Linked DNA regions of Daphnia pulex. Each later gene encodes a partner of the first gene's protein in a complex. Links are inferred from orthologs where the notes say so. Each region holds a gene or a part of one and is shown in the gene's direction. Other genes may lie near its edges. The genes, in order: actin-related protein 3 and actin-related protein 2/3 complex subunit 4.

What was found.
Region 2: actin-related protein 3 (region 1) and actin-related protein 2/3 complex subunit 4 share a complex: the UniProt entries of both Caenorhabditis elegans proteins name them as parts of the arp2/3 complex. The link is inferred for Daphnia pulex from reciprocal best matches to the Caenorhabditis elegans genes arx-1 and arx-6.

Annotation. Positions count from the first base shown.
Region 1 is NC_060017.1:5,490,811-5,495,124, reverse strand, and holds the start of actin-related protein 3, read left to right. Parts: upstream 1-1,504; 5' UTR 1,505-1,667; coding exon 1,668-1,711; intron 1,712-1,819; coding exon 1,820-2,006; intron 2,007-2,194; coding exon 2,195-2,509; intron 2,510-2,580; coding exon 2,581-2,898; intron 2,899-2,979; coding exon 2,980-3,198; intron 3,199-3,323; coding exon 3,324-3,407; intron 3,408-3,496; coding exon 3,497-3,592; 3' UTR 3,593-4,314. UniProt on the Caenorhabditis elegans protein: Functions as ATP-binding component of the Arp2/3 complex which is involved in regulation of actin polymerization and together with an activating nucleation-promoting factor (NPF) mediates the formation of branched actin networks.
Region 2 is NC_060028.1:5,631,910-5,635,254, forward strand, and holds actin-related protein 2/3 complex subunit 4, read left to right. Parts: upstream 1-1,264; 5' UTR 1,265-1,436; coding exon 1,437-1,439; intron 1,440-1,624; coding exon 1,625-1,743; intron 1,744-1,803; coding exon 1,804-2,011; intron 2,012-2,141; coding exon 2,142-2,312; intron 2,313-2,375; coding exon 2,376-2,381; 3' UTR 2,382-2,567; downstream 2,568-3,345. Other genes in the region: uncharacterized protein LOC124209792, read left to right, coding at 1-3, 61-817; mitochondrial carnitine/acylcarnitine carrier protein-like, read right to left, coding at 2,645-2,726, 2,796-2,901, 3,004-3,183, 3,257-3,345. UniProt on the Caenorhabditis elegans protein: Functions as actin-binding component of the Arp2/3 complex which is involved in regulation of actin polymerization and together with an activating nucleation-promoting factor (NPF) mediates the formation of branched actin networks.

The DNA of each region.
Region 1 (4,314 bases):
GTCCATAAAAGTGCTAAAAGTCTGTAAAGAAAAATTGGCGATCGTTACATTTGATCCTACAGGAAGCAAACCGTTTTCAATATACCCGTGTTCTTATAAGCTACTATTTTTGTAGCGCGTTGCCCAGCGATATTTATTACGTGATATTGACGGGCCCTGAATGAGGATTTCTATTTCCTGTCGTTGGCAGAAGAGAACGTTATTAGCTCTCTTTGGTGTAGCTAAGCTGAGTGAACTAAAACTCGATCCCAGTCGAGTATAAAGTTGACTTTTAAAAGAAAAATCGTCACGTCGTTGCTGTGTGGTTCCTTCCGCCGCTTTTGCTTCATGGAGTTTTTAAAAAGAAACTACTTGAGAGAGATATATGCGGTGTAGGGCGAATGGACAAAGGGAAAGTTTCAAGTATTCTTGTACAACTTCATTAGAATCGGGAAATGTCAGTATAGCTTATGGGATTAAATATGCCAACTTGCTGAAATTTGTCGTCACTTTGGCTGGTAATTTTAACGTACTTAACAGTTTGCAAGATTATGTCACCCCCCAAAAAAGCAATTGCTGTGTGTGAGTAATATGCTGATAGAGCGATAGATACGAAAGTGAGGGCTAAAATTCAAAAGCCATTAGGATGCGGTGTGACGCAGAGTCAACATTTTCCTTTAAGATAAAGAAATGAGAATATTAGCGATATAAGTTTTTCTTTTTAGTGTCAATATTCTCATAGAACATGACTGTCTCAAATTTAGTTGGAATGCCGTGTCATGCAGGAAAAGATGAGAATGTTCATTGTACAAACACAATGGCCGTACTGAAATGAAATGCTCCCCTGTAGATTTACCGTCTCGGTTTAAATAGCCTGTGGCGAGTTTTGCGCGTGTATAGAATGGTGAGTTTGACTTGCAGACCGAATCAGAATCCCCAGTTACTCGTTTACTGAACCGTTGGTTGCCACGAAAGCCCCATCCAATAAAATCTAATTGGTTTCAAGGGCAGGAAGCAAAAGATGGTAGGAAAGAAAATGAAAAGGAAACAACCCTTTTTTTTTTTAAATTGAAAATTCAAACTTGATTGCTAGACCAAAGATGAAAGAGCAGGGGTATCTGGTATCTTCGACTCGTGAGGATAGGGTCCGGATTTCCGGATAAATTTTTTTCTGTTTCTCATCAAGACCATAAATTTTTTTTATTGTTCCTTAAAATATCTTTTTTTTATGACGAAAACTTCTTTTTACGTCACATATGGTTGCCTTCTGATTTCACAAAAGTTCAATCAGATTCATTCAAATCACGCTAGATGTCTTCAAAATCTGGCGCAATTCAATTTTACCAATCGTTATGGGATGTTTTACTTCTTTAACGTCCACCGTTTATTAACCATTGGAATAACTGAACTATGGCCTTATCTCCGCATATGATAAATAAGATAACCTTACCATGTTTGTCTCATTAAAAAAAAAGAAAAAAAATCCTTATCAGATTGTCAGAGGAAGTTCTGTTGCCACCTGGTGGCCGTAGTCTGAAACTGCCAGGGGTGGGGATTGAACACTCATCGCTCTAGACGCTGCCGGTGTTTCGAATTAAGCTAATTTCGTTTACAATTTCTGTGTCTAATCACAATAAGGATTAAATCAGAGAAATAGTGTTAAAGGTTTTAAACAATAATTGTGTGAAATGACCGGAAGATTACCGGCTTGTGTGATTGACATCGGAACAGGGTAAGGATATGCTTTGGTCTGGTCTGTCTGACAGACTGCAATCTCATCTCAGTGTGCCTATTCTGGAAAGGTTGTTAACACTTCTAATAAATTTTTGTTTTTTTTTAGTTATTCCAAGCTTGGTTATGCTGGCAATAAAGAGCCTCAATACATTATACCTTCAGCCATTGCCATTAAAGAAACAGCAAAGGTTGGTGACCAAGCTTCGAGAAGGTTAGGAAAGGGAATCGAAGATCTTGACTTCTTTATTGGTGACGAAGCCCTCGAAGCAGGAAATGGGGGATATTCAGTCAAAGTATGACTTTTTTTCATTCATAACTTAAATTATCTTATTTTTAAGTAAGTTTTAATGCAAATGACAGTTTGTTTACATGATTGGTAACAAACACCTTACTTATGAGATTTGTCAATTCAGCTATTTTTCAAGTGGAAATAGTTATTATTGAAAACAGATCATTCATTTTGGTTTAATTACCATTGCAGTATCCTGTACGTCATGGGATTGTTGAAGATTGGGACCTTATGGAGCGGTTCTTAGAACAGAGCATATTCAAATATCTGCGAGCAGAACCAGAAGACCACCATTTCTTGCTAACAGAACCCCCTTTAAACACCCCGGAAAACAGGGAGTACACAGCAGAGATCATGTTTGAATCTTTCAACGTTCCCGGTCTGTACATAGCTGTTCAAGCAGTCCTTGCTCTGGCTGCCTCTTGGACCTCAAGGCAGTTGGGTGAAAGAACCTTGACTGGTATTGTGATTGATAGTGGTGATGGTGTTACCCATGTGATCCCAGTGGTAACTGATATTATTATAAATAATTTGCTTTTCATTTGGGCGCTTTCTAATTGTTGTCTTGATTTTTGTAGGCTGAAGGATATGTTATTGGAAGTTGCATAAAGCACATCCCAATTGCAGGTCGCAACATAACCTATTTCATTCAATCCCTTCTCCGTGAAAGAGAAATTGGCATTCCACCTGAGCAATCGCTCGAGACAGCCAAGGCTGTTAAAGAGCGCTACTGTTACATTTGTCCTGATATTGCAAAAGAATTTGCCAAGTACGATGCTGAGCCCAATAAATGGATGCAGAAATTCGAAGGCCTCAATTCCATCACCAAGCAGCCGTTTGGCGTTGATGTTGGCTATGAGCGTTTCTTAGGACCCGAGATTTTCTTTCACCCAGAGGTAGATTTTATTCATTTTCGTCTGCATTTTGCATTGGCTATTGTAGACCGAATCATGTTTTCATTCATTTTGATATTGCAGTTTGCCAACCCCGATTTCACGACCCCTATATCAGAAGTTGTTGACACAGTCATTCAAAACTGCCCTATTGATGTGAGGAGGCCATTGTACAAGAACATCGTATTGTCGGGTGGATCGACCATGTTTAAGGATTTTGGTCGGCGGTTGCAACGAGATATCAAGCGTGTTAGCGACGCTCGGCTCAAAATCAGTGAACAGCTGAGTGGAGGCAAACTGACGGTGAGTTTCCACTTGTATTTAAGAGTTGTGGTCGAATGGGTTGGCTGAACGGGATACGCGACGGTTCCCACATCCAGGAACTGGCGTAATAGTTGTAATTGAATATTTTTGTTCTTGGTTTACAGCCGAAACCTATTGACGTTCAAGTGGTATCGCACCACATGCAACGCTATGCGGTATGGTTCGGTGGAAGTCTACTTGCTTCAACGGTATGTGATAGCGATAAATTACGTAAGAAAGGAAATTAACTGACTTATCTTTTTTTTTTTTTTTTTGGCTTTCTCTCCCCGGTTTGCAGCCTGAATTTTATCAAGTGTGTCACACTAAAGCTGCGTATGAGGAGTACGGGCCGAGCATTTGTAGGCACAATCCAGTGTTTGGTACTATGACATAATTACCTGTAGAACAAAAACAAAAATCAAGGTACAGCGCGCAAAAAGGAAGCGCCATAAGGCATCGATCAGATCGAGGTTTCCTCTGTAATAATTCAACAATGTGTAAGGAGGGCCGTATCAAATGTAATTATCATTTTCACAGAGAGGAAAGTGAACAAGTTCTTTTCCGTTTATTTTTCTCCGTTTATCCTTCCTCATTTGACCCTCAATTTTTTTTTCCTACTAGCATTTGTTTTTGAATCCAGTCCGCTGTTTTTCCTGACACCATGCCTACCCCGTTTCCTCCCTCTCCCAAGTTGACTTGTCTCCCCCCCCCCCCTTTTACTCGAGAGAAATGATGGTGCTTGTTTGTTTTCCTCTTCCTTCTGGTCTTACTTTTCCTTTTTTTTTTTCCTTTTTCTACATACTTTCCAATTTTAAGTTCATGGGTGATTTAGGGTGAGCAACTTGAGTTGATTGGTAGAACCGGATTTGTTCAAGTGCCTGTTGTTTGTTGGCTTTTCTACCATTTTCCGTCTCTACTAAAAAAGAAAAGAAAGATGTTTTTCTTTCTTTGCGCCGTCGTGGTGTCTATTTGCCGAAATAATCAACTGGGTTCATTATCATCCTTAATTTTATTAAGTGATTCAGCATATACCGAATAATTGGATGACAGTCATTCCTTGTCTATTTGTCGTCGAGGCCAAGTGTGTGGTTGGGTGGAAGCGTTCGCTGTTGCAAA
Region 2 (3,345 bases), on another chromosome or scaffold:
GAAGTATTCTTATATTTAATTCATTTAAATTTCATAAACCATAAATTGATATATTTTTAGATGTGAAGCTGACGTGAACTCACAATTAACGAAAGGAGGTGTCGTAATGCAATATTCATGGACGTTGAAAAAGTTGCCAACTTTGAATCGCACAACTTTCTCTAATAAATCAAAGGACGGTATGTGGTTCGGCGTTGGTATTCAGTGTGTACGTATCATCCCATATACAAATTGTAGCGAGTTCGACCTATACTTTTTTACTGGTCGAAACAGTCGAGTGGTTGGTGTCTCATACTTCAACAGATGGGATCCCTGTTCACAGAAGAAACACAACATGGATCTTAATAAAAATCTGGTCTTCACAAGCAATTTCTCCGTTGCAAATGGATACAAATGTTACCAGTTCACGTTCTGTGTGACGATCGAACAAGCGGATAATGAGGAATATCGATACGAATTGCAGGACAGTCTTTGCCCAACTCAGCTTTGGCGTTCCGCTTTGGATGGCATGACCACCGATGTTCAGTTGCTCGTCTCTGGGCGTATCTTTCATGCCCATCGATGGATTTTGGCCGCCCGGAGCCCAGTTTTTGCCGCAATGTTTTCCCACGACATGCTCGAGGCGAATACTGGGTGTGTTGACATCAGCGACATTACACCAAGCATATTCGAACAAATTTTGTTCTTTATTTATAATGGCCGCATACTCGACTCTACCCCTAATTTACTTCTATTGGAGGCAGCTGATAAATACCAAATAGAAACGTTGGTTTTCATTTGTCGGGCTTCTTCATCTCCAATGGAAAAGGACAGTTGATATGGTGATATGTGCTGCATCAACAAATCAGTGCAACAAATTAGTGCAATCGTCAACAAATTAGTGCAATCGTTACTTTGATTCTATGTTTGTTAACCTATTATTTCTCAAAATAAAACAAATATACCGGCATCGACTGCACGTAGCGGATATCTATCTGCATATATCATTTCTAACGCTCCCTTAAAAAAACACACAAAACAAAAGTTTAGTTATAGACTTATCTTCAATTCTACCTATACAAGTAATATATAACAAACTAACAACAAGTCTTAGATCAAAGATATTTACGAAACCCCTAAGGACTAAAACTTGTTTATATTCGGCTTGATTTGTGATCTGTGATCTCACGGTAAATTTCTTGAATAAAGGAAATTGATTGATTGATTTTTTTGCTTTATTTAATACGGGCCCTCTACTGGCAGCAGATTGAACTGTTTCCATTCTTCGTCGGTTCCCATGTTATCTTAAAAAATTGCGGTTTTTGACAGATCCGGCCCACCCCACTGAAAAAAGCCAAAGAAAGCACTAAATTGAGTAGGGCCTAAATAGTGTCCGTGGAACATATTCTTGAACTATCTTAAGATTCTACGCTTTTCAGCTGTGCAAATTGCAAAAAATGGTTAGTTTGCTCTTAAACTTCTGTGTTGTGATTCAAACCCAGCTAATCCAAAAAGAACTTTGAAAATATTATGTTTTGAACTCATCAGACAAAAACACATTTCAAACACTTTACCACACCCTCTTCCTTTTATCATTCCTATCGTCTTATGTGTACACGTATAATTAATATTTTGTCATTTTTAGTCAGCAACTTTGAGGCCTTACTTGTCCGCAGTTAGAAGTACACTGGAAGCTGCAATGTGTTTGGAAAACTTTTCTTCCCAAGTTGTTGAAAGACACAATAAACCTGAAGTGGAAGTCAGGTAAGGTTAAATGAGTGAAAAAATTGAGTAAACATTAATAAATACTATTTTGAAACATAGAACAAGCAAGGAATTATTACTGAATCCAGTTGTTATTTCAAGAAATGAGAAAGAAAAAGTCTTGATAGAAGCCTCTATTAATTCTGTTCGGATTAGCATTTCTATCAAACAGGCTGATGAAATTGAAAAAATTCTTTGCCACAAATTTATGAGGTTCATGATGATGCGAGCAGAAAATTTTGTTGTTTTGAGACGAAAGCCTGTTGAGGTAAACTCTTTTTAACATATTCTAAAATATGTTGTTAAACTCTTTTTAAAATATTCTAAAATATGTTGTTAAGGTAAACTCTTTTTAAAATATTCTAAAATATGTTGTTATACATTGATAATTTCTCTAGGGTTATGACATAAGTTTCTTGATAACTAATTTTCATACTGAAGCCATGTACAAACATAAATTAGTGGATTTTGTCATCCACTTCATGGAAGAGATAGACAAAGAAATTAGCGAAATGAAATTGGCCGTCAACGCACGAGCCCGTGTGTGCGCTGAGGAGTTTTTAAAGCGGGTGTGTTTTACTGTCAATTTTTTCATCAGTTATTACCGACTAACATTTCCCATTTTTTAATAGTTTTAATTCGAGAATTTATTGGATAACTGGAAGAAAATTGAGACCAGATAATTCCCAAGTTTATTTGCATAAAAACCTGTTTCCAAGCCAAGCTAATTCAGTAAAATGATCCGACTTGTGTACAATCAGATAACTCCTAGTTTGAGTTCATGCACAAGCTCAAAAAATAATAAATGAAAATATTACAGAAAACTATATTGTATTTAGTCAAACTGGAGTGTGCATATTTCTTGATAATATCTACTTGGAACAATATCAGTGCTCCGCAATTAGATAGAAGGAGCTAACCAGTTCAAAAACTTCAAAGCCATTTCAAATCCTAAGAAGCAAACGGCATTTGCAGGGAAGGCTCTTTAAAGAAAAATGGACGTTAAAAAATGTTATCAAAAATTCTTATTTAATTAAATATGTCCCTATTACCTAAGAAACACTGGAACTGCTCCTCTATAGAGAGCTCGAACACCTTCTTCGCGCATCAACACTTTAAAGACGTCACGCACTCCATTAGGATACGTTCCTTCGGGAGCTTCAAGTGGGAAAATAATCGAAGATATAAAGTTATCATATTACCTTTCACTTAACTCATTTATTTAATAGCCTAATATCTGATTCTATTAAAAAATATTACCTGTTTGTAGTCTACTCTTCAGTACATCCGGTGGGATGGCAATAATCCAGTTGGCGATTCCTGCCATTCCACCGGCAAACATTGTCCGAATTGGGCTTAATTTCCCGTCGGAGTTTTCTGGTGCAAGTGCAACCTGGAGCCATTCATAGGTCATAAAATAGATCCCGCTGGCTGGAACATCTACCAAATCGAAAGAGAGTTCATCTGTAGTTGCAGAAATTTTCTTCTTGAACTATAGTTGAGTCAACCTTACCTCTGAGCAGTGTAGCTCCTGTTCCCCGATAGATACTCCGTATACCTCCTTGTTTATATAACTGCCGAATACAGTCAATTGGTCCTGCA